Linked DNA regions of Xenopus tropicalis. The protein of the gene in region 2 purifies or fractionates together with the protein of the main gene of each other region. This does not show direct contact. Links are inferred from orthologs where the notes say so. Each region holds a gene or a part of one and is shown on either strand. Other genes may lie near its edges.

What was found.
Region 1: the proteins of capzb (region 2) and kiaa1671 purify together in Homo sapiens (co-immunoprecipitation; 3 studies listed by BioGRID and IntAct, with this or other methods). This does not show direct contact. The link is inferred for Xenopus tropicalis from reciprocal best matches to the Homo sapiens genes CAPZB and KIAA1671.
Region 3: the proteins of capzb (region 2) and cnot2 purify together in Homo sapiens (co-immunoprecipitation; 4 studies listed by BioGRID and IntAct, with this or other methods). This does not show direct contact. The link is inferred for Xenopus tropicalis from reciprocal best matches to the Homo sapiens genes CAPZB and CNOT2.
Region 4: the proteins of capzb (region 2) and plekho1 purify together in Homo sapiens (co-immunoprecipitation; 3 studies listed by BioGRID and IntAct, counting the BioPlex papers as one, with this or other methods). This does not show direct contact. The link is inferred for Xenopus tropicalis from reciprocal best matches to the Homo sapiens genes CAPZB and PLEKHO1.
Region 5: the proteins of capzb (region 2) and twf2 purify together in Homo sapiens (co-immunoprecipitation; 3 studies listed by BioGRID and IntAct, with this or other methods). This does not show direct contact. The link is inferred for Xenopus tropicalis from reciprocal best matches to the Homo sapiens genes CAPZB and TWF2.
Region 6: the proteins of capzb (region 2) and arpc5l purify together in Homo sapiens (co-immunoprecipitation; 3 studies listed by BioGRID and IntAct, with this or other methods). This does not show direct contact. The link is inferred for Xenopus tropicalis from reciprocal best matches to the Homo sapiens genes CAPZB and ARPC5L.
Region 7: the proteins of capzb (region 2) and cracd purify together in Homo sapiens (co-immunoprecipitation; 3 studies listed by BioGRID and IntAct, with this or other methods). This does not show direct contact. The link is inferred for Xenopus tropicalis from reciprocal best matches to the Homo sapiens genes CAPZB and CRACD.

The regions. Positions count from the first base shown.
Region 1 is NC_030677.2:147,665,157-147,668,656, forward strand, and holds part of kiaa1671 (uncharacterized protein KIAA1671 homolog), read left to right. Parts: intron 1-3,314; 5' UTR 3,315-3,383; coding exon 3,384-3,500.
Region 2 is NC_030683.2:129,989,719-129,993,218, forward strand, and holds part of capzb (F-actin-capping protein subunit beta), read left to right. Parts: intron 1-1,060; coding exon 1,061-1,150; intron 1,151-3,170; coding exon 3,171-3,292; intron 3,293-3,500. UniProt on the Homo sapiens protein: F-actin-capping proteins bind in a Ca(2+)-independent manner to the fast growing ends of actin filaments (barbed end) thereby blocking the exchange of subunits at these ends.
Region 3 is NC_030679.2:59,329,634-59,333,616, forward strand, and holds the start of cnot2 (CCR4-NOT transcription complex subunit 2), read left to right. Parts: upstream 1-1,183; 5' UTR 1,184-1,193; coding exon 1,194-1,304; intron 1,305-2,061; coding exon 2,062-2,134; intron 2,135-3,983. UniProt on the Homo sapiens protein: Component of the CCR4-NOT complex which is one of the major cellular mRNA deadenylases and is linked to various cellular processes including bulk mRNA degradation, miRNA-mediated repression, translational repression during translational initiation and general transcription regulation.
Region 4 is NC_030684.2:129,094,754-129,098,253, forward strand, and holds part of plekho1 (pleckstrin homology domain-containing family O member 1), read left to right. Parts: intron 1-647; exon of another isoform or gene 648-946; 5' UTR 947-1,081; coding exon 1,082-1,108; intron 1,109-2,893; coding exon 2,894-3,040; intron 3,041-3,500. UniProt on the Homo sapiens protein: Plays a role in the regulation of the actin cytoskeleton through its interactions with actin capping protein (CP).
Region 5 is NC_030680.2:128,268,045-128,271,544, forward strand, and holds part of twf2 (twinfilin-2), read left to right. Parts: intron 1-1,676; coding exon 1,677-1,802; intron 1,803-3,178; coding exon 3,179-3,329; intron 3,330-3,500. UniProt on the Homo sapiens protein: Actin-binding protein involved in motile and morphological processes. Inhibits actin polymerization, likely by sequestering G-actin. By capping the barbed ends of filaments, it also regulates motility.
Region 6 is NC_030684.2:28,258,065-28,262,283, reverse strand, and holds the start of arpc5l (actin-related protein 2/3 complex subunit 5-like protein), read left to right. Parts: upstream 1-1,419; 5' UTR 1,420-1,753; coding exon 1,754-1,899; intron 1,900-4,219. UniProt on the Homo sapiens protein: May function as component of the Arp2/3 complex which is involved in regulation of actin polymerization and together with an activating nucleation-promoting factor (NPF) mediates the formation of branched actin networks.
Region 7 is NC_030677.2:40,819,456-40,822,705, forward strand, and holds the end of cracd (cancer-related regulator of actin dynamics), read left to right. Parts: intron 1-104; coding exon 105-295; intron 296-1,144; coding exon 1,145-1,301; intron 1,302-2,132; coding exon 2,133-2,293; 3' UTR 2,294-2,750; downstream 2,751-3,250. UniProt on the Homo sapiens protein: Involved in epithelial cell integrity by acting on the maintenance of the actin cytoskeleton. Positively regulates the actin polymerization, by inhibiting the interaction of actin-capping proteins with actin.

The DNA.
Region 1 (3,500 bases), on a different chromosome or scaffold from region 2:
ACTGCTTGCTGCCCTTAACCTGTACCTCTGCTGTGTATGTTTTATTCAGCTTATGCTATTACTTTATTCCTTTCACTACTGTTAATTATTATTAAGAGTACTTATTATTCATAATTAGAGTATCAGAAATATATTTAGTATTGTGGCAAAATACAACTTTGGAAAGCCCTTTTTATTTTGGGAAAGTAAATATTCAGACAAATCCAACATGGATGCATGTAGTTCTACACCATTCTTACAAAGGGCAGAGCTTTGCTAAAGTTAGCAAACTGGCTATGTTTTATGCAGTGTACAAGCCCCAAACAATGAGATGATCCCAGAAAACCACATTTCTTTTGGAAAGTAGATTTTCAAAATCTGCAACTGTCTTTGCTTTAATCTACCAAACTGCAAAGCTTGGCTGAACTTGTTTTATGTTTACAATTGCACCATATTATAGCCAAAATAAAACCAAATACTCACAATAAGCAATATAATCTCTAATATGCCTGAGTAGGATAATACACCTGGATGCACCAATAATTACAGATATAACAATTTGTTTTTTTGCATTCTAGTTTCTCATACACAAATGAAAAAGTGCAATAAAATCAGCCAAAATAATAAAATAAGTGATCACACAGTGTGCCCTAATCAACTACTCACAGTGCACAACTATAGTTTTATGGTCAAAAACAAGTATTGAACAAGTGCAAAACTAATAATGCCATAAAGTCATTCAAATCAATAACATAACAAAGGTTTTGACAAGACCATCTGATTACTGGTCAAAGTACCTAATCTAGGGCAAAGACAAGATACAAAGTAGTAAAAAAATAGAATGTGTACACACATTAATTGTAGGTATGTGCATGCGAGAGTGCAAACATGTAGAATTGTAGTCAGAAGTATTGACCTTGTTTATCAAGTATTTTGTGTATTCACGTGTGTCTCTTACCTGGAAAGCATCAGAATGGCTAATGACACCAGGACAAAGGATCCAAAAGAAGTGTTTAGGGGGATACAGGAAGTGTCCAAACACTAAACATGTTGCATGTACATTGGTAGTGTATGCTTCAACAACATATATATTAGTGCAATTTAAGGCTAATGCTAGACAGGGCTGATTCTCGGCCTGTGGATAAATGCAGGCCAATGGAGTGGAATTGGTGACAGAATGCTCTTGTATGTATTTTGCTGCTGAAATCTGCTCTGTGTGCCTGTACTCCAAAGACGCAATGGCTGAGTGCAGGCACAGGGATAGGCTGATCAAATGTAGGGGGCTGATCCTCAGCCTGTGTTTATCCGCAGGCTTAGAATTAGCCCTGTCTGGTATTAGCCATATGGAGAAGGAAAGGGTTAATTACTGGGGGTTGGGAAGGTTGCAAAATGTTAGGCACCCCAGTGATTATAATCACTTGATACCATGGTCCGGTACACCTATTAGCAGTAAAATGCATCTGCTCGGGGTCCTTTCACAGAGTACCACAAAGTGATCATCTTCTTCGACTTATTTATTTTTCTATGGCTTCACGCACTGTAGCGTGAAAAGGCTATTTTTTTTTCTTTCTTGTGCTCTGGTGTGAAGAAGGAAGAAGCATCAAGAGTATTGTTCTCTGGTGTTAACTGAGAAGTACCCTGGGTTGATGCACTGGGAGTTATATTCACTGGGGGAGTGGGCAAAATAAGCCTACAGTCACTTCCCATAAAGTTCCTTAACAAAAAAATCAGGAAATGACCACAGCCAATGTTTATGTATGTGTGTGTGTGGGTTTGTATGTATGTAGATAGAGATATAGACATCACAAAATAATCCCCCTGCATAATTGACCCACTTGTAGAAGAAATATAGTGCCCCTTCAGGAGTACATATTTGTGAGTCCCAGCCTTATTGCGTGCATTGAACATTTCTATTACATATTTGTGTTTATAACGTGTGAGTGGGAGCTGTCTACCAAGCAAAACCAATGACCATGTTAAATGCATATGTGTATCATTTAAATTAGTGATGTCCAACTTTTTACATGAAGTGGGCTAAGTTTTTCTCTCTAGCATGTTCGAGTGCCGGATTAAATGAAAATGATGTCATATAGGGAAGTCTGTGGAGCCTTTGAGCAGAGTGGGGGCCATAAAAAACCTTTGGAGGGCCACATCCGGCCTGTAGACCTCCAGTTGGACAGCCCTGATTTAAATAATCAAATTTAAAAATAATCAGTTTATGTTGCAGTGTAGCTCCCAGTGGAGCTGAAGTAGCCAGTTATTTGCTGCTATCTTGATTCGTTTTTGGAAACTTAAAGGATTTATTAAAGGAAAATGTCTGGCTGTGCTGTGCTTTGTTGAACACATGGTGATATAGAAAAACAGCAAACAATGGAAAAAATCTTCACCTAACTCAAATCTAATTTTACCTGTTCTTCTCTTGCTATGTGTAGGCCCTTCTATATTTTTAAAACTTATTATAATTTTCTCTATCTATGATTTTATCAATTTATTCTTTAAAATAAAATAAACTGTTTAAAACAACATTCAAAACAGCAACTAAACCAAAAATTTTATCCATATTGCTGCTATTGATAAATGTATGCTCATAAACCTCTTTCATATACAGGGTGCTAACAAAGTATCTGTTGATTTACCTTTTAATTTTTTTCTTATCTACTGTTTTGGGTGCTTTTACAGCTGTTATATGCAAGCAGGTATCATAGTATTTCTGACTAAACGCATCTTTTGGTTTAGTTTAAGCAGGATTCATGACTTAAACGGCATGCTCAGAATGCAAAGTGTAATTAAGATCATGCTATGCCTCGAAAACTAGATATTAATAACTGTGAGGCCCAAACTTAAAAACAAACAAAAACCTTAATAGTTTGATGGATTCTTGAATTTGCAATTTGTCAAGATCTGTCCTGTCTATTTACTATTGTTAAAACAATTTGTTTACATACTAAATATCCCGATATCAATTGTCTTCTTTAGCCATTTGCAAATTTTACTTGTATTGAACTGAGCTGATCATTGATTGACCATTTTGTGCTATTCTGTAAATTCAGCAGGCCAAATTCTAACCTATCATCCTTGATGTGTTGTTCCAAAGATTAAAGAAAGGACAGGGGTAAAGAAAAAAGTGATAATAATGTAAGAATGAGAAACAGTGGAATATAATCCAACTAATAGGCATGTACTAATTGCATCTACTTTGAATGTAATCATTTGGAAAGTAGTCCAAAAGGGTAGAGACACACAACATTTTCATTTTAAAGAAAAATGTGCCGTGATAAACAATATTTATTGTCTCAGCTAAATTATTAACTTTAAGTTGTATTTTCATATTTCAGTATCGTTGGTTTGATGGTTACGGCCACTTGGATGGATATTTTCCATATGGAATACTAACTGGCAACACCATGGCAACAAAAGTAGAACTCACTTCCCCTTTATCATCAAGAACACCTCAAGCCAGTCTAAGTGACATGCTAAATGAGGTTAAAACTTCAAGGACATACACCAGTCCACTTTCAGAT
Region 2 (3,500 bases):
ACAGCCCCCTAAGTTTGCCCATAGCCTGTACAGAGAGATACCATAAAACTATGGCACATAGGGATTCCCCTGTACTAAGCACAATTCAGCAGGAACAGCCCCCTAAGTTTGCCCATAGCCTGTACAGAGAGATACCATAAAACTATGGCACATAGGGATTCCCCTGTACTAAGCACAATTCAGCAGGAACAGCCCCCTAAGTTTGCTCATAGCCTGTACAGAGAGATACCATAAAACTATGGCACATAGGGATTCCCCTGTACTAAGCACAATTCAGCAGGAACTTGGGGACAGGGTCCCTTTGAGCAGTAATTGCTCGGCCGTTCCCCCCAGACTCAGTGCATGTAGCAGTCTTCTTACTTTCCCTTTACCTACAGCCGTTTCTCATCACCCAGAAGACTCTCTCTCTGCTTCCCATGACCTTTGGGAGCCGCTAGAGACAGTGGGATAAAATAAGCCGGTGTTTCCTGCGCAAATGCCCCGGGGCTCCCGCTGGGAGAGAGTCACCTGCGCTTCTGCTGGACCGGCCCCCTGTGCGCCAGATGCCCCCGCTGCTTTGTGTTTGGCCCAATATGTCAGCAGGGACCCCACTTCCTCGCCTCCTAATAACACCTTCCAGTCTCTCCGCTGATTGGCTGCATGGCTCCCTGTATTACTCAGCCCAGGCTGAGCATAGAATGCATCGATTGTAAGCTCTTGTGCAGAACTGGGCAGCCTTTTGCCCCGAACTTAGGGTATATGGATAAACATAGGGTTTTGGATAAACTTTTCCCATGGTTCAAATGGCTGAGCAGCCTGTAGCTCTGAAGCCCTCATCGCTTACTATAGGTCGCCCCCTGCTGGCCACGTAAGTGCTAGCACCCTATAGGGGATATGGAAACTCGCTATAAATGTCAATAATTGTAATTATCACGGCAGTGGGTCCAGCTTCAGTAGCCGTCTGGGCCTGAGTTCTGCATTCTGGCAACTTCTGGGTTTATAAACCTGTATTCTCTCCTTTTATTACTTGCCCTTTGTGCTCTAATTAGAATTAATGCGCCGTTTCCCCTTTCTTTTTCAGACTGAACAACAGCTGGACTGTGCCTTGGATCTGATGAGGCGTCTCCCTCCCCAACAAATTGAGAAGAACCTCAGCGACCTCATTGATTTGGTAAGGAAACCCCCTACGTCCGGGCTCACCCGCGGCCAATAGGTGCGGCCGTGCCCCGCGGCGCTGGGATATTGCCGTTGGTTGCACCAGGGGACTCCAGGAGCGACACATTTCCTCTGGTGCAACCAACTGCCCCCGTGATGCAGCAGGAAGAAACGTTGGGCTGAAGAGCTGACTAATAACATAGCAAGGACTGAATGTGGCCCTTGGGCACCTCATGCTGAGATTCTAGTTGAAGGCGGAAGGGCCCCGGCAGGGCAATTAGAGGAGGCAGAGGGGTCAGCGTTCCATACGTAGTTATATCTCCTGATCTCAGCCCCCCGGCCCTCATTAGTGCGTACCCTTTGCCTCGGCCATTGTCCTCTTCCTGGGACCAGCAGGCTATTAATTAGAGCACATTAGCGGCCCCGTCACTCACATGATTTCCCATCCACGCTAACGACTGAGGCCGCTGTGGGGCCCCCATCAGTGATTTGTGTGCTCTCCTCGCTACAGTTCTACAGTAGTGTCATGGCTGCCAGCACCAGATACAGACATGTTTCCATTGCTGGAGGGGATCTCACCATCAGCATAGGAAGGGGTTCCTTACTGTAAGGGCAGTCAGGTTATGGGATTCCCTACCAAGAGAGGGGGAATGAGTGATTCATTGGGGTTGGGGAGGAAAGGGGATCTCACCATCAGCATAGGAAGGGGTTCCTTACTGTAAGGGCAGTCAGGTTATGGGATTCCCTACCAAGAGAGGGGGAATGAGTGATTCATTGGGGTTGGGGAGGAAAGGGGATCTCACCATCAGCATAGGAAGGGGTTCCTTACTGTAAGGGCAGTCAGGCTATGGGATTCCCTACCAAGAGAGGGGGAATGAGTGATTCATTGGGGGTGGGGAGGAAAGGGGATCTCACCATCAGCATAGGAAGGGGTTCCTTACTGTAAGGGCAGTCAGGTTATGGGATTCCCTACCAAGAGAGGGGGAATGAGTGATTCATTGGGGTTGGGGAGGAAAGGGGATCTCACCATCAGCATAGGAAGGGGTTCCTTACTGTAAGGGCAGTCAGGTTATGGGATTCCCTACCAAGAGAGGGGGAATGAGTGATTCATTGGGGGTGGGGAGGAAAGGGGATCTCACCATGAGCATAGGAAGGGGTTCCTTACTGTAAGGGCAGTCAGGTTATGGGATTCCCTAACAAGAGAGGGGGAATGAGTGATTCATTGGGGGTGGGGGGAAAGGGGATCTCACCATCAGCATAGGAAGGGGTTCCTTACTGTAAGGGCAGTCAGGGTATGGGGGCTGCCAGTACTATGGGGGTATATTATATACAGAGCCCCAGGGTGGAGGAGAGGTGCCCCCCAGTTCCCAGGATGATGAAGGTTCTGCAGTATCCGGGGGGGTAGGATGGGGGGGACTGTATAAAGGTAGCTGTTACCCCCTCTTTTCCCACCTGGCAGCCGTGACCCCTCGGTTGCCCCCGTGTGTAGGAGCCGGCCACCCCGGCAGGTATCCAGTTTCTGGGCAGACAAAGGCTGATATTCTTGTGTGAGGGGTTTGTGAGTTTAATTAAGTCTGTGTAGGGCCGGAGCCAAGTGCATTATGGGGGGGGGGGGCAGCGCGGGGGTCCCAGGTACAACAAGGGCGGCCCTGTTCCCAAATCTCTATCAGAATCTCATTAACTTCTTTCAATTTGTCTTCTCTTTGTGTTCTGCCTCCTCAGATGTCTCCCCGAGCCCCTTTGCTTTCAGTGCCGTTACCCCCCCCCCCGCGCGCGCAGCGTGCGTCCCATAGCCCACCTGTATTCACCCACACCCCTCTCCCTGTGGTACAAGTGGTATCACCTGTGTGGGCCCTGGCTGCCTGCACCAATATGGCCGCCGTGCTGCTTCCCAGGAAGGTGGAGCTCAGAGGCAGTTAGAGACCTTTTTAAAGGGCAGTGGTGCCAATTGTGTGCCATTTGCCTACATTAAATACTAGCCAGGCCCGATTCTCACTTGCTATGTTCCTTACCTGGGGTTCTGGTTCCGCCCGTAGGTACCCAGTCTGTGCGAAGATCTCCTGTCTTCTGTCGATCAGCCCCTGAAGATCGCTCGCGACAAAGTCGTGGGAAAGGACTACTTGCTGTGCGACTACAACAGAGATGGAGACTCCTACAGGTCAGTACTCGGACCCATAAGGAGAGCAGGGATGTATGGGCCCGCACCCCTGGTTCTGCTCATTATGAAACAAACCCATCAGTTTGGGCTTCTCTGGGTTTCCCTGTGGTCTCACCAGTCTCTCATTAAAAGGGATGAAATCTAAAATAAATGGAAATACTCTCACTCAGAGGCATCTCTGGGCACTTTGTATGGTGTCTGAGACTGT
Region 3 (3,983 bases), on a different chromosome or scaffold from region 2:
GTTTCCCACATATTCGATAGTTATAATTGTTTGTGGGGGGGGGTGTGTGGAAATACCAGTTATATCATAATGCTCAATAAGATCTTTTAACTGTAGCCCTCACAATTTGCCCAAAAAGCTATTTGCAGACAGTTAGTTAGTTGTGCCATCACACATGGCATGCTTATTAGAAGGGGCCGCTGCAATTGCGTCTGGCAAGATTAAGTCTAATAAGGTCTGAAAGACTCTTTTCTTATTATTAAAATACATTGACTGTCGGATGTGGCTGCATAAACAAAACATTCCATCCGACTTTATTTAATCTGACGTGCATTACATCAGAGGGGATCATATTTTGTAGGATTCCACAAAATCTTGCAGTTGTGTGACAATATTTTGTGGGTCAGATAAAATATCAAAATATCATGTAGTTTAAATCTCTTGGTGGTATCTTTTTTTACCACTATACTTCGCTACATTCTCACGTGAATTTATTTAACCCTGTCTAATCTTACTTTATTAGACCCCATTCTGCCTAGGTGCTATCCTTTACAGCTTTAGAGGTCGCACCCCAACAGAAAAATTAACCCAATGGTTAAGGAACACAAAACTTTTTCCCCTACTAATACTTTAGCCTAGCCAGTTTGGCTCAAAAAAAAAAAATGCTCAAAAATGTATTGATTAACTGTCCCAAATCAGTGCTATTACCCTGAACCACATGTGTCCTTTAGCAATTTACCAAATGCGATCACCCCAGTTTTTGCACTCTATATGCTGACTTAAAAAATATGCCTTATTGATGTTTTTTTTTTCTTCTTATAACTACACTTTTATAGAACAGTTAGTTAGTGAATATTCTTTCCACAGAATAAGTGATCCAAATGAGTCCCAGTGGTTGTATTTATACTATCTGGTCTGCTGATGAGACAGTCGAACATAAAATACTTTTCCATTTTTTCCAGTCCAGTGAAAGCATCCGTATATCCGTTGGTATTAACTTAATGCTATTTTTGTATTTATTTTTATATTTAAGCTTGAATTATCTGATGGGATTTATGTGGTTGCTCAGAAATAGTGGTTAAACGTATTTTGTGTTCTTTAGGCTTTTCAAACAAAGTAAATAAAGTATCATCAGTTTTAGTTTTAGAGAAAATCACAGCGTCTGTCTCACTGGTGTAATCTTATTGCTTTTTAATTTTTAGGTGACATACAGCATGTTTGGTGCTTCAAGAAAGAAGTTTGTAGAAGGTGTCGAAAGTGACTACCATGATGAGAATATGTATTATAGCCAGTCTACGATGTTTCCACATCGGTCGGAGAAAGATGTAAGTTGAGTTTCATAGCAAAATGCTGCAAATAACTTTCAGAGCACACAAAATAGAAGTATTCTTGTGTTTAGTGTGTAAGTTATAACTGCAAAGGTTGGGGACTTGGGTGCATGTTCCTGTGAGTGGCAATACCTTTGGTGGACAATTTAAGGCACAGATATATAACAATATGTAAACAGTCCTAAAGTACAACATAGTGTAAAATCCCATGTGTCTATAAAGCTGCAGAAAGATTTATGTGTAGCAGATTTTAAAATTCTATTATAAAAGGAGCTGTAAATTTCAGCTGTAGTCTGACAAAATAAAATACCTTTTATAAACACCATGGTTTGCTCTTTGTAATTGTGATGTATGGTGTTAATTCATGTATAGTTACAAACAAGGTTTATAAATACATTTAAAAAGACAGCTTGCATTGTAAATAAGCACAGTTGGCTTTTAACAGTTTCACACCACTGTGTTTTTTTTTTCTGGCAAAAAAGTACTATGCTTGTATTTCAACATATTCATGAGTGCTTATGTTGTTAAACTATCATACTTCTGAAGCAAAATAAAGAACCTTTTTATATGGTGAAGTAAGGTAACCCAGTAACTTTGTGTAGCTGGAAAAATTATGTGGAAATTTAAAGATAGTCAGTCTAGATCTTGACTGATTTAGAGATTGTTGGGTATACATTTTTGTGAGCCTTCTCTCATTGTGTTCATTTGCACTAATGATATATAAATATATATATATATGTTTCGTGTTATTTAGATGCTGGCATCTCCATCACCATCCGCATCGGGTCAGCTGTCACAGTTTGGGGCCAGTTTATATGGACAACAAAGTAAGATTCTTTTGGCTTATGAGGAATTGCATCCTTTGGAAATGAATCCTTTTATGTGTTTATATTCATATTGACTGTCTCCTGTAGAGTAAATTCTACTTCAGGGGGAGTTTAATTAAAGGTCGAAAGAGTATAGGCTCTTAGTCACATTTGGTTGGATGAATATTTCAAACAATGCGAGTGTTACAGTGTGTTACCGTTATATTTAAGTGCACAGAACTAAGTGACTTTCTCTTCTGATACTTACTAAAATGCCTTATTCTGTATGGGTTAGGAAGTGCCATTTTTGCTTAGTGGGTTAGTGTTAGTACTTGAGGGACCTTTCACGACACTCACAATAACCGAAACAGAGTTATGAACCACCTTATCCAATCACTGAATAAAGAAATGTTTAATCACACAATATATATTTGGTCCTTTTCTTTGCTTCTAAAACCATAATTCTCTACTCCTCGCGTCTGGGTTCTAGGTTTATCCCACAGATATTCACTTGGGTTAAGGTCAGGATTCTGTGCAGACTGTTCAAGTTCTTTAACTCCCATCCCAGCAACCAAATTTGGTATGGACTTTGCTTTGTACATAGGGACATTATAGTGCTGTAACAGGCAAGTGCCTTCCCCCACATTGTTGCCAGGAAGAATGATATTGTAAAGAATGTCATTGTATGATGGAAAGGCGCCAGTGGCAGCAACAATGGGTGTCTTAAATCGCCAATTCCAATAGAATACTTGTGACCATAATGTGTAACTGCATATCTAATGTATCTAGCAGGTCTAAACTGCAGGAGCATCATATGGCATTTTTAACTGGTCTCCTGCCAAAATATAAGCTGATAGTTTAAGTCCCTTAAACTAGGTTAATGCATTTATAGTTGCATTAATTAAATAAGAATTTGGACAAATAATTAACTTATATAGACTAACAAATCCCCCCGTTGTAGGTAAGGATTTTTTTTCCCCTTTATCGCCTAAAAAATTATTATTTAGTTACATAGTAAAGGTCATTATTCCGAATTATAAAGTTGTATCAGAATCTGACAATTTCATAGGGTCTACTGAATATTGCAAGTATTCACTTGCAGGGTCTACTGGTACTGCCTCCAAGATGAATATTAATCTTGAATAAATATCAGATTAATTTCAGCACTGCCATGCAGCCATTTTTTAAAAATATACTGATTTACAGAAAGCATTGGTTGAACTGCATTGTCCAATGTGTAGACAACACAGGACCAAACAATGACTAGGGTATTCCCATGGCAAATCAATGAGAAACTTACTAGTGCTCATGCTTTGGGCCATGGTTGCGGAACGATTTATATTTTAAATATTGTTAGGCTTAATCTTAATATCATCTTTGTCCTCCACCTGAATCCAGCATATCTGCTCTTTGCTTTCTGACCTAAAGGCTAATGTTGAAAAGCTTCTACATACTGCAATTCATTCTATAAAATGCCCCCTGCAGTGCTAGGCTTGGCTGCACTGGGGGCTCCCTCCCAGTAGAGCTAGCCTAGCACAGGCAGGGACACTTTTTTTTTTTTGTTCTTTAAAAACTTGTTTCCCACAACCAGAGTGCTGGCTCTATTAGCCCGCACCTCCTGGGGGGGGGGCAGTGACAGGTACACTTTAATACATTTTCTTATATATAGAAAAATGCATACCCCCTCCACCATATTTATATTTTTGAACAACACGTTAATTTATGTTTACCTTAAAATCTAGCAATTTTTCCCAAAAGTAAATGTCTATTTAGTCTCATAATATACCATTAACATTCATTAATCATTTTTAGCCTTGCAGGGAAGAGCATACTATATCTTATATTAAATAACCAGAATTCCTGTTTTACT
Region 4 (3,500 bases), on a different chromosome or scaffold from region 2:
CCTAGCTCCGTGTGTAATACAGATACACCCCTAGCTCCGTGTGTAATACAGATACACCCCTAGCTCCGTGTGTAATACAGATACACCCCTAGCTCCGTGTGTAATACAGATACACCCCTCTGCCCTGTGTATAATACAGATTTTCCTCTGTCCTATGTATAAATACACATATACCCCTGACTCTGTGCATAATAAAGATACATTCCTGGCTCTGTGCATAATAAAATAAAGACATTTGTATAATACAGTACAGGGGTATCCCTGTTCTATGTATACTACAATACGGATATAACCCTGCTCTATGTATAATACACATACACCCCTGGATCTATATACCGTTGACCCCTTTGTTTGTGGTTAAAGCATATTTTCTGGCAACAGCTGATCTGTTGGGTTAATGGAGATTTAAAGAGTTTAAATTCCCAGACAACTGGAGACACATACATGCTATACACCATATGCCTTCTCCCCCAGTCAATTGCAAAGAAAGCAGGGATCATTTAGGGTAAGGTGGGAGCTGCCATCTGATTGCAGATGAGAGGTCAGGATCAGTAGGGGGTCTGGGAATTACACAATCAGACACATCTCCCCCCCCCCCTCCCCTCCATACATCCCTCTCCTCCTCCTCCTCCTCCTCCTTTCCCACCACTCCAGCCCCCCTTGCCTGCCTTCCAGCTTGGGGGGAATAAATGGGAAACAAAGGAGTAACCCTGACGTGTTGTAATGTCCTCTCTATTCTGATCTCACATCACACTCACAGTGACTCTCCATAGATGGAGCTACTGAACAGAGAAAGAGAGAGGGCAGAGGCAAGGAGGGGGGGTAGGCTGTGTGTGAGTGTGTGAGTGTGTGGCTGTTGCTGCTGAGTGTGGGGACATGACTGTGTGTGAGCTAAAGAGGCTTGGCTGGACTTAGTGAAACCAGATCTTGTGTGTCTGATCTGCAGAACAGAAGGCTGGAGAGGGAGCAGTGAGCGCAGACGGCACATCCACTGCTGCACCCAGGCAGGCACCCAGCAGCACCCTCCCATCCTCCCCTTGCACACTCTGGCCTCCATAGCCTCAGCCTCAGCCCTGGCAGCATGAAGAAGAACCTTTCTGCAAAGAGGGTGAGTGTTTCTTACTCTTCTATAGACACTGATCCCCCCCTCACCCCCTGTATCCCCCCTGTGTCTGGCCGGCCAGCCTCTGCCCTACATTCCCTGCTCTTATGGGTCTGAGCTGGGCAATTACTGGTCCCTTCCTTGGTTGCCCCCAGCCACACAGGGATGCAGCGCAGAGATATGCAGTAATATATATCCTCCTCTGGCTCCTTCAGCCCCCCACTGCATTGCATTGGTGCCATTTAGCTCTTCTTTTGTATATGCATTAATCTATTGGATCTACTGTATTATACAATAATCTGTCTATCTATCTATGTATCTATCTATCTATGTATCTATCTATCATCTATCTATCTTTATCCATTTATCTATCTATCTATCTATCTATCTATCCATCATCTATCTATCTATCTATCTATAAATATTGCACTCAGTGATCTATCTTCTCTCATATTTATATATAAATGTATGTATTTGTAATATTGTCTTGCTACATATTTAAATCTATACATCTCACTAAATGCTATTGTTGAATGCTGTATAGTTTCATTCATTGCATATAAATTTATAGATAGTACTTTTTAGATTGCAAGCTCTTGAGCAAGGCCCTCTCTACCTCTGTTAGTGGTCAGTACCTATATGTCATTTATATGTTTGATTTAAACACTCTTCAGTAGTACAGCGCTGCAGAATATGTTGGTGCTTTATCAATGCGTGTTAATAAGATAATAATAATAGTAACAATATTAATGATCATCATAATGTAATAATCATACCATCCCTTTGGATGTTTGTATCTCTGTGTATATGTATGTTTCTCTAAATATATATATAATTATATATATACTATTGTATAAGCACTGCTTTTATTGTACAATGCTGCAATAGCAATACTGTGTGTACATATAGCCGTGTGTGTGTGTGTATGCATAGAAATAGGCAATAAAGTTCCTATACAAACATGATATAAAAAAGTTCATATATTTAATTTATCATACCTCTAGGTAGGACAGTATAAAGAGGGTACTGTATTATTGTTATCATCAGTATGTATTAAAAAACACCAATATATTCTGCAGTGCAGTAAAGTAGAAGGGTGTATATCAAAGATATAGGTTGTGACTGCTACAGAAGGTTAAGAAGGACCTGCTCATTGGAGCTTACAATCTAAAAGTAGACGGGGGTAACTGTATGAACGATGCTGCTATTGTGATGGGAGGAATATTCTCACAAATGCATTATTCCTTACCCTGACCCTTGCCCTCTCTGTTACATGCATGCATAGTGTATTAAAAACACACATTCATATATGATTCTATATGGAAATGTTTGCATACCAACCAGTGTCACCATCAACCAGCAGATTTGCTTCCCAAGAGCTTACACTCTAGAGCCATGTAAGCTCTCCAAAGTACAGAACTCCCAGAATCGGAACAACGCTTGGAAGCTGTAGTAGTGGCCGGATATTGGATATGGAAAAGTATGTTGGTCGCTAATAGGACTGCGCTTCTATGTATATCGTCCAGCTCTATGTTCCTACCCAGTGTTGTATAATAGTATTTAATGAATATGCTCCTGCAATGGGTCATTGGGCACATTACTCCCTTGTTCTGGACCCAGTTCTCAGTTTGGTTAGGCAGTTTGGGTCAGTTACCCTTTCTTGGATTGGGCATATAAAGCTTAACCTTGGCTTCACTGGCCTTTGGGGCAAGTCTGCCAGCTGCCGACAGTTCATATTAATGTGATGGTTTCCCCTATATTCATCTGTGCTCCACCTTTTTAACTTCCCAGGGACCTTTAGATGGGAACCATGCCCCCTGCCAGCCAGAAAAAGTGGGATGGATTCGGAAATACTGCGGGAAGGGCATCTTCAGGGAGATCTGGAAGAACCGTTACGTGGCTATACGGGGGGATCAGCTCTACATATCGGAGAAAGAGGTAATGCCTATGTACAGAGCTTTGTGAATCAGGATTGTAGGCTGAAGCTATAGGATAATGTCACGGAACGCTGTACTATTTAATTGAAACCAGCCTTGTGTAGGAATGTGTGGGCCATATTGGGATGAGAACATGGGGATGATTCAGGCTGGTAACATGTCTCATCCCAGTGCTAAGAACCTTCATTCACTATGACTCCACTCCTTCCCTCTGGTTTCTGCTCCGCTTTGTTACCTATATGTCAGCTATTTCGATGTGATCCAAGGCGAATGGATGGCTGCTGAGCTAAGCCTTGTGTCACCTGGGAAACATTTGTATTTGTAAAGGAGAACTAATCCCAAGGCCACCATAGCCCTTTTGGGCAGTGACATACGTTTATATTAGTCGCCTGTGATAAATCTTCTCTACTGATGCAAATGGTTTTCCCATTTGTGGGGCTACTTTGGAAAAAATCCTCGCC
Region 5 (3,500 bases), on a different chromosome or scaffold from region 2:
CCAAAAAAGTTGGGACAAGTAGCAATAAGAGGCTGGAAAAAGTAAATTTGAGCATAACGAAGAGCTGGAAGACCAAATAACACTAATTAGGTCAATTGGCAACATGATTGGGTATAAAAAGAGCTTCTCAGAGTGGCAGTGTCTCTCAGAAGCCAAGATGGGTAGAGGATCACCAATTCCCACAATGTTGCGCAGAAAGATAGTGGAGCAATATCAGAAAGGTGTTACCCAGCGAAAAATTGCAAAGATTTTGCATCTATCATCATCAACTGTGCATAACATCATCCGAAGATTCAGAGAATCTGGAACAATCTCTGTGCGTAAGGGTCAAGGCCGTAAAACCATACTGGATGCCTGTGATCTCCGGGCCCTTAAACGACACTGCACCACAAACAGGAATGCTACTGTAAAGGAAATCACAGAATGGGCTCAGGAATACTTCCAGAAACCATTGTCAGTGAACACAATCCACCGTGCCATCCTCCATTGCCAGCTGAAACTCTACAGTGCAAAGAAGAAGCCATTTCTAAGCAAGATCCACAAGCTCAGGCGTTTTCACTGGGCCAGGGATCATTTAAAATGGAGTGTGGCAAAATGGAAGACTGTTCTGTGGTCAGACGAATCACGATTCGAAGTTCTTTTTGGAAATCTGGGACGCCATGTCATCCGGACCAAAGAGAACAAGGACAACCCAAGTTGTTATCAACGCTCAGTTCAGAAGCCTGCATCTCTGATGGTATGGGGTTGCATGAGTGCGTGTGGCATGGGCAGCTTGCATGTCTGGAAAGGCAGCATCAATGCAGAAAAACATATTCAGGTTCTAGAACAACATATGCTCCCATCCAGACGTCATCTCTTTCAGGGAAGACCCTGCATTTTTCAACAAGATAATGCCAGACCACATTCTGCATCAATCACAACATCATGGCTGCGTAGGAGAAGGATCCGGGTACTGAAATGGCCAGTCTGCAGTCCAGATCTTTCACCTATAGAGAACATTTGGCGCATCATAAAGAGGAAGGTGCGACAAAGAAGGCCCAAGACGATTGAACAGTTAGAGGCCTGTATTAGACAAGAATGGGAGAGCATTCCTATTCCTAAACTTGAGAAACTGGTCTCCTCGGTCCCCAGACGTCTGTTGAGTGTTGTAAGAAGAAGGGGAGATGCCACACAGTGGTGAAAATGGCCTTGTCCCAACTTTTTTGGGATTTGTTGACACCATGAAATTCTGAATCAACATATTTTTCCCTTAAAATGGTACATTTTCTCAGTTTAAACTTTTGTTCCGTGATTTATGTTCTATTCTGAATAAAATATTAGAAGTTGGCACCTCCACATCATTGCGTTCAGTTTTTATTCACAATTTGTTTAGTGTCCCAACTTTTTTGGAATCCGGTTTGTACTTTTTGTTACTCTTTAGTTCTCCTTTAAAGTATTTCAGCCAGGATTCACCACTAACAATTGGTCAGTGGTCAATAAAGTACTACTGCAGTTAATTACAGTTTGAGAGTTACACTGACTAACTGGCATTCATTTAATATTCATTTATTTATTCATTATTGCGGGGTCTTCAACATCTTGGCAGATTAGTATCTGCACTTAGTCTCAAGGCTGTTTCTGTAAATCATGCAGTTTGATAATTAAGTTCCCCATTAACCCTCTGTGTCTCTCTCAAGGTGAAAACTGAAATCAGCGTAGAGAGTAAACAACAGACTCTGCAAGGACTCTCCTTCCCTCTAAGGCCAGAAGCGGAGGGGGCAATCCTGCTCTTAAAACAGAAGAAAATCAATTATATTCAGCTGGTAATTCTGTTCCTACTACTGCCAATATAAAGCCTTTCCTAATTCTTCCTTTTATTCACACATAGTGATTCGTAAAAAGTTCCTACTCTCCAAATTAAATCTTTGTATGTAATTCAAATCACAACAGTTATTACAGCTTTAAATGCAAAAATCAAAAAAAGAACAAAATATGACTATGAAATAGGAACCATGCCAAAAAGAAAGGTCTTAACCCCTAGATGAAAGCGAATAAGTAAACATCATTAAAATAAAAACAAAAAAGAAAAAATCCTTTGAATTAAGTAGTACAGGTATAGGATCCGTTATCCAGAGAGCTCTGAATTATGGATAGGCCCTCTTCCATAGACTCTATTATAATCACATAATTTTAATTTTTACAAATAATTTATTTTTTTCTGTAATAATAAAACAGTACCTTGTACTTGACCCCAGTTAAGATTAATTCTTGGTCGCAAAACAATCCTAATGGGTTTAATTAATGTATAAATAATTTTTTAAATTATAGAGATCCAAATGATAAAAAGACCCCTTATCTGAAAAAACCCCAGGTCCCCAAGCATTCTGGATAGCAGGTCCCATACTTGTAATTAAAAAGCCTTATGTATTTCCAGATCTGCCAGTACAATTAAAATACGTAACCCGTAAAATCAACATTAGTGCCATTATGGGAGAGGCCTCTCAAAAGTAATCGCTGCCCAATCTGCATATATACATAACATTAAATTAACAGTATATAAATATAGCATAACATAGTTGGAGTGTGGATAACAACAAATTGTGGTCTCTAAAAAGTCCAGACAAGGTATAGTTCAACACTCTGGATAGATGGAGCTTACTGATATCTGCATATATATAAATTAAACATTGCTAGAAAATTCCGGTTTTAATTACTCCTCTGAAAAATGGATATATTAGTTAATAGAAATAACATGTCTTTAACTAGAGGAGTTTTGTCCAAATCTCCTCCTGTTCTGTTACCCTAAAATTGTGAACCATCAAGATTACCACAATGGTGAAGATATAGGTGTTTGGCAATGGCTGATGTCAAATATAGCTAATAATCTCAGACCATGCCTGCCTTTGCAGTCCAGCTTATGTGATGTAGTGGGCCAGATATCCCACAGACTGAAAACCCAGATTCCATATTGTACTTCAGCTACAACAATGAAGACATTTTTGGAATTCCTGGCAGTCTTGAGTGCCCTAGCAGGGCCCATAACTTGTGGACCTCCATTTGCAGAGTTCTGACTTAGGCCAATAACTCTTGTGATCTGTAGAATCTTTTTTCCAACACCCACATTCTGCAAGTTTACCCACTAGTGCCTTTACCACTATCGACTGCCTTTTGGTTTTCTGAATGTCTTTCTGTTTTGTAGAGATTGGATCTAGAAAAGGAGACTGTAGACTTGGTTCATACAAAGCATACAGAGCTAAAAGATCTACCAGGGAGAATACCACAAGACACAGCCCGTTACCACTTCTTTCTATACAAACACTCTCATGAAGGAGACCACTTGGAATCTGTAGGTAAGGCTACAACTTGGGGATGAATGACTTCCAGCTCTGTGGGTATTGTGCCTGGTAGTTGCAGTTCAGTAGTATTTAGTCTTGCCCCACTTTTTGCTTTTTACATTCTTGATCAGTGTCTCATTAGACCACCAGGATTTTTCCCAGTGGGCCCTAGCAAAAGTTGCCCAT
Region 6 (4,219 bases), on a different chromosome or scaffold from region 2:
ACAATTACAATGCACACACAGTTTAAGATATGAGTGCGTTTTTCTAGGTTAAATAATAATCAATATTACAATATGGAGGTCATAAGAGCCAGAAAGCAATTCATATGTCCAAGAACAACTCTCATAATTGCAGCTTTTAGTCAGCATTCTAGGGCATTACTTGTAATGATCGGCAGGTAAATTAACAGGAAAGTACAAACCTAGTAATGACCAAATCATGGTATTTTTTTGGCGCTGTCATTTACTGCCATTCTGATATAGTGGATAGTCCAATTGCCAATGCCATATCACCCTTGAAAAAATGATTTATATAATATTGCCAACAATCTGACCTACTAATTCACCACCCACAGGCACTAACTAGCTTCCATGTAAAGATGACCCCTTTGAAACTGGTCTCAAAATCCTGACTATATCACAAACATTGAGAGAAGGCAGGCACTCTGGTAGTTCACGTATCATGTGTTAGCTCAATAAAAGTTTTGTGATTTTACTTTACTTTCTCGTGGACAACCGCTTTTCTTCACTGAACTACCAGAGTGCCTGTCTTCTCTCTGTGTGAGGCAGTCTCCTCAACCTTATTTATTTGTTTGTAGAACCACATGGTGACTCTACCTAAGCTGATCAGAAAACCCTGCACTACACTGATGAGCCCCCAATAAGGGTGAAACCGGTCTGTAGTTGGGAATCTGATCAGCTATTGTCCTGGCTTCAGCTTCAAACCCAGTGGGTGAGCTGTAGCCTATAGGATAAACCCATGTAAATGGGATTTTTTTAAAGAGTCTGGAATTTGTTCCCAGAATTCCTTTTGTTTGCTTTTGTCTGCGTGAGGCAGTCTCCTCAACCTTATTTATTTGTTTGTCTTCTCTCAATGTTTGTGAGATACCCATGATGGCTCCCTCTAGCTGAAGGTCTGGGGCATGAGCACCTGGGCCCATCTATACTATGGGTGAGATTTACGAATTACTTCTGAGCATATGTTTACTTTTTTCTGTATCTTAAAATCCTGACCCTTAATATCCAATTAGCAATTCACTGATGTACCTTCTTTAAGGCTACATATAAATCTGCCTTGTGTGACTACAGCACGCATTTCAATTCCCAAGTAGTGTGGCACAATGTAAGTTTATTTCGTTTAAGGCACCATGCCTCCTCCATACAGTTATTTCTTTTCCGAATGTTGACATCTATGCCCCTAACTACTGTCCCCCAAGCCCCTGGGGTGACGGCCTGAGGAGTTGCTAAGCAACAAGAGGCCGCCATGTTGGCTTCTCGCTTCTCACGCGTTCATGTCAGTGACGCCATTCCGCTTCCGCTACACGCTCCGCCCTGCCGGAGTCACCGGAAGCGGAGGGAGCCGGCTGGACTGGAAGCGAGTGTCCGTGACAGCGGCCAAGCCCCCTTCCCTCTCAGTCGCCACTTCCCTCCCTGGTCACCCCCACCCTGAGTAGCTGCCGTCCGACCTAGCCAGGGAGTAAGCGCCTCAACACCCCCTTTTCATTGGCCTCCGCCCCCTTCCCTCCTCTCTCTCAGCCCCCAATTCCTGTCACACAGCTTCATTGAGAGAATTCATTGAGCCTTACTGTAGCCCCTAGCGATCAGTGGCCGCATTTTTGAAGGGGGTGCGTTTTGCTGTCAGGCTCATTGAGTGTTTGTAGTGGCAGTCGGTTCCTGTCACCTTCCCTGCGCTCACACCCTATCAGGGTGTCACACCCCCTTCCTGTGGGTGCTGCAGCCGGCCGGCTAGCCTAACATGGCCAAGAACACGCTGTCGTCGCGCTTCCGCAAGGTGGACATAGACGAGTACGACGAGAACAAATTTGTTGACGATCAGCTGCAGGAGGAACCGGCCGAGCCTCAGGGGCCCGACGAGGCCGAGGTGGACAGTCTGATCAGGCAATATCCTTTTACTGTATTACTGCACACCTAGGCCATCGCTCATGCTGTAATTACTGGAATGCTTAACCTGCAACCCTCTTGTCAGGGGGGGGGGGGGACTGATAAACAGTTTATTATTTTTTTAATGAAAAATGTTTCTTATGGGTGAAGACACATGTAGCTACTAGTACTTGTCATGGCTACTCAAATAGACAATGCTGATCATTTACTGATACAGGTATCGGACCCCTTATCCGGAAACCCATTATCCATAAAGTTCTGAATTACCAAAAGGCCGTCTCCCATAGACTCCATTGTGATCAAATAATTCACATTTTAAAAAATTATTTCATTTTTCTCTGTAATAATAATACAGTACCTTGTACTTGATCCCAACTAAGATATAATTACCCCTTATTGGGGGCAGAACAGCCCTATTGGGTTTATTTAATGGTTAAATGATTCCCTTTTCTCTGTAATAATAAAACAGTACCTGTACGTGATCCCAACTAAGATATAATTACCCCTTATTGGGGCAGAACAGCCCTATTGGGTTTATTTAATGGTTAAATGATTCCCTTTTCTCTGTAATAATAAAACAGTACCTGTACTTGATCCCAACTAAGATATAATTACCCGTTATTGGGGGCAGAACAGCCCTATTGGGTTTATTTAATGGTTAAATGATTCCCTTTTCTCTGTAATAATAAAACAGTACCTGTACTTGATCCCAACTAAGATACAATTAATTCTTATTAGAGGCAAAACAAGCCTATTGGGTTTATTTAATGTTTAAATAATTTTATTAACATACTTAAGGTATGGAGATCCAAATTACGGAAAGACCCCTTATCTGGAAAACCCCAGGTCATGAGCATTCTGGATAATGGGTCCCATACCTGTAATTGTCTCTATGTGTGCGTTTTAGCAGAGGCAAGTCTCAGTATTGTCTATGGCAGGGTGTTTTCTGGAGTTAAGTAGCCATGAAAAAGTAGCTACTACTAGTAGCTCTGTGTGTCTTCACCCTAAAGCGAGTGGGAGCTAAAAATGTTACGGTGGAGCTAAGTAACTTGCAGCTATGCCCCTGCCTCTAGCAGTTGTTTCTGCACATTTGCCAGTATCACTCTTCGTGCCTCCCTTGTCCTGGGAGTGGTGGGTAACAGCTGGGGGTACGTACATAGTTTAATATGCATTGACTCATCCTTTGCTGATAACAAAGATTCAGTTATAAAAAGCAATGATATGAAAGGCTGTGACAGAACAAGAGGCTGGTCAATCATTGTGAGTGGGAAAGACTGGTAATTGCTGGCCCCATGCAATCCAGTGTTGCAGGTTTATTGATACTTTGCTTACATTCTTTAGCAAACATTATGGCTGTACACATGGTGGTGCTAGTTAGGGGCTGAGCAGTCTGGATGTATGGTTACAACTCCAAGGCTTGTGTTTGTTAGAAGAGAAAAATCCAATCGGCCATTTTAGCTACACCTTGTAGGTATGACTGTAGTTGCGGTATTTATAATTGATTTTAATAAAGGCATGTACTGAATCCTTCATTTTTAGATTCAGCTGAATCCTGCATTAACAATATAGCAGAACGCTGAATCTAAATTGTATTATTACATTTTAACAGAGAAAATCAAATATATCAACCTGGAGGAAAAAAACAGCCCTATTTTAGTTAACTTTTTTAGGTCTCCTTAGTGCTGGCTTAGGTTAGTGATACACAGGGCTGTTTCCCCACCTGCGTAAAAATGGGAACAGGCCAATGCAAGTGGATCCATTCCTTCTTACTAGTGGACTGACCGGCATGTCGGCAGCCTGTGAGCGCAGACAGAAAGTGAATTCCAACAATAAATTCATTATAGGGTGTTGATTGATTCATAAGCCAGAGAAATATACTGCTTAGAATGTCCAAATGCCAGGCCATTGATAGTTTTCTAATGTTACTTATAAAATTTAGGCAAAAGGTACTTCTTTGAAATAAGTTGGTGATGTGGGTTCTCTTAAAGTAACATTAAAAAAAAAAAAATGATGAAGGTATTGAAATATATAACGTACTGCTGCCCTGCACTGGTAAAACTTGTGTGTTTGCTTCACAAACTCTACTACTGTTAAATAAATAAGCTGCTGTGTAGCTATGGGGGTAGGTATTTAGCTTGAAAACAAGAAAAGGCACAGATTGCATATCAGATTTGCTCTGTATCTGTGGCATCTAACCCAGTTTCAACTCGAATGGCAGCCCCCGTGGCTACACAGCTACTTATTTTCAGGCCTGGATTTGTGGGCAAGCCACAAAGGGCCATGCCAAGGGCACCAAGGATCTGGTGGCAGCATGCTGCCC
Region 7 (3,250 bases), on a different chromosome or scaffold from region 2:
ATCACCTGCAGTTGAAGGCTTACAGGGGATGCTACTTCTACCTATCACTCCGTTGCCCATGGTGACTTTCATTAATAATGCATTTGTGCTATGTGTCCTTTTAGATAGGCCAACTCTTCAGAGCCGTCATTCCCTTGATGGTACCAGGCTGATGGAAAAATCAGAGACAGCGCAGCCTCTCTGGATAACATTAGCCCTACAGAAGCAGAAAGGATTTCGGGAACAGCACGCTTCCAGGGAAGAGAGAAGACAAGCCAGGGAAGCCAAACTGTCAGACAAGATCACTAAAGAAAATGTAAGCAGGTTAATGAAAATATTCAGCATATGTAAGGGTTGACACCCGTTTAATGGAGACCTAACCCCCCCCAAACTGCCCTCTATTGCATCCCACCTCCCTGCACCCTCCCCACAGAGTCTATTAGATGGAAAAGTGTCCCAGTCTGGAAAACTAACTTAGATGTAGAGTAGTGTAGTGGCATTTCCATCTGCCATCTTCTGGACCTTCAGATTTTGTTTGAAAAGTTCTACAACGTACTTGACGCTAGGATTCTGGGATTAGCTCCAACTGTGCATATGCCAAAAAGCTCAGTCCATCAGCAAAGTTAAGAAAATAGTACGTATGAACTCCACTGTGCTACTCTGCATCTATACCTTTCCAGATGGGGACATTTTTCTACCTGCTGGGAGTGAGGAGGGAGGGGGCCAATTGAAGGCAGTATGTGAAGCTTTTCTCTGTGGGGGTTTAGTTCTTTTCGATACTCAATATATATTCCACACTCATGATGGTTCTAGCTATGATTATATTGAAATGTCATTTCTAAAGCTATCATTGCAAGAGATAGTGCTTAGGTAGAAATAAGAAGAAAAAGTATAAAGACATCTTTAAATCTTTTGGGGTAAGTACAGTATGTACCAGCTTTGTGCCATAGATTCTCAATGAATAGTAGTCCATTGTAGAACATTCACCACTTGGTATTGAGCCGCTCCAGTGTTACTTTGGCTTTGTGTTTGGACCAGACACCTGCTGGAAATGAAGCTTATTGTGTGCACGGTACCATCCTTCCCTCTACTTTGAATACATATGACTGACCTATGACTTTGATATGTTAGTAAAACCTGATTTTTCTGAATTATCCATTAAAAGGCCAGTGAGCCTGTCATAACAGGAGAATACAGAAACAGGTCTGGATCCCTGCAAAAGCCAGTAGCCCAAGAGGAGAAGAAATGTGAGACCGTAGTGACTCGCCTGCAGCGCAGAGAGCAACTACAGAAATCAAACACACTTCCCACGTCTGTCACAGGTGAGGTGAAGGAACAAGTCTCAAATGTTATATTATTAAGCAATTCCACCCGGTTAATGTCTGGGGCTCTGGGGGTTTTCTGTCTAAATTTGATTTTTGCACTTCATGTTTGAGCTTTGTTTTATACATCTAATTATCCTTTTTGTGCTTAAGTTGTATGTTTTTTTTGTTAGTTATATTTGGCATGGTAATTTTTTGTATATCTTATTCTGTAGCTATGCACCCAATGCCTTATTGTGCTTGTGAGATAGATGAGACTTATTTTTTTTTACATAACTGATAAGGAGAGCCAAGTTTCATTGTTGACGGCTAGTTACAAAGCTGCAGTAGAGAGGGAGTCACTGCATTATAACATTGGTTTTGCTTTAAGCCATGTTGCATCTGCCCCTCTGGTTTAATAACATGGGAATCCACATCCATTTACTCATTTCACTCTCCTCCAGTCTATACAGATATCTGAGAAATACATATGCAAAATATATATATCTTTATTTATATAGAGCTACCAGTACCATGTACATATTTACAAAACAGTGAAAGTACAAACAGAAAAAATATTGCAATAACATCAAAATAAATATACACAATAGTAAAAATGTATACATCTTTTACTCAGTAAAGGCGCAAACTTCCCCTTAAATGACCATTTTCTTTCTAGAATGTCTATGGCCCATTTAATAGTTCAACAACCATGATTTTTACCTACATCATTTTGTTCTTCTGAATCTGAATGGAACTTGATGGCTTATATCTATGCATTGTAATTACTTCTGTGTCTGCCCCCACTGAGTGCTGAGAAATATTCTTGCATCTTCCCTTTGTCTCTCACAGTGGAAATCACAGATGCAGTTCAAGTTCCTCCTCTAGCAAAGGATATTCCAAAGCGATTTTCTACACCAGATGCTTCTCCTGTGTCATCAGAGCCCGCCTGGCTTGCCTTAGCCAAACGGAAATCAAAAGCCTGGAGTGACTGTCCGCAGATTATTAAGTAAATATCTTGTCCCAGCTAAAAAGAAGCTAATTAGGTGTCCCTAAGCTTTGTCTGTGGTCTACTGTATGGATGTTATGGCAAATACAGTAATAATAAGTGGTCTGTTCCTGGGCTATATACAGAAATAATCGAGCGCATTTGTGCCTAATTGTTATAATGGTGAAATGTGATACTCTGTATTGGAACAGTAAAAATGTCCTCCTGTACTGTCTTCTTAACAAAGTCATGGTACTCCTTGGGGAGAAATAGGGCTGTATTAATTGACAATTCTGCTTTCCTGAACATGGCAGCCTGCATACGATATTATATGAAGCAGCGATGCCCAACCGTCAACCCTCCAGCACAACTTCCAGCGTTCTTCTACTGCCAGGAGATTCTGGGAGTTGTAGTATAACAAGTGATGGAAAGTTGTCGTTGTTGACCATCCCTGATCAAGACCAATACACTTTGTACACTTCTTGGTGGATTAATATTTTGCACACTCTGGTACTATGTGCCTCTACTAAAGCCACATGAATGTTCTGCTGATATTCTATTGATGTGCACACGTCATTCCTTGCAATGCTACTAGACTTAGTTCCTATAGGGTTATAGTTATAGCCTTTTAACTTTAAATCACCTTTCTTGTAAATGAACCGCACTGACCCTAAAATTGTTCATGTAGATCAGATGCAAAATGTGGTCAGGACATATTTAACCCACAATATGGATCCAATACTGTAAAGTGCTAAACCAACCCTTGAAGGATACAGCCAACATATTGTATCATATTTTCTTGTAGGTAACAACCAAGTTGACACATTTTACAAGTTGCCCCATTTTTATTTAATTTTTTTATACAACTATTTCTAACTATTGCTGTATTCATTCATTTGTTTTTAGAGTACAGGAAATAGTGTGTCCATACTCCTCCATGTGCTCATACCCAGCCCTGATTGGCTTATAAGCAACGAATAGC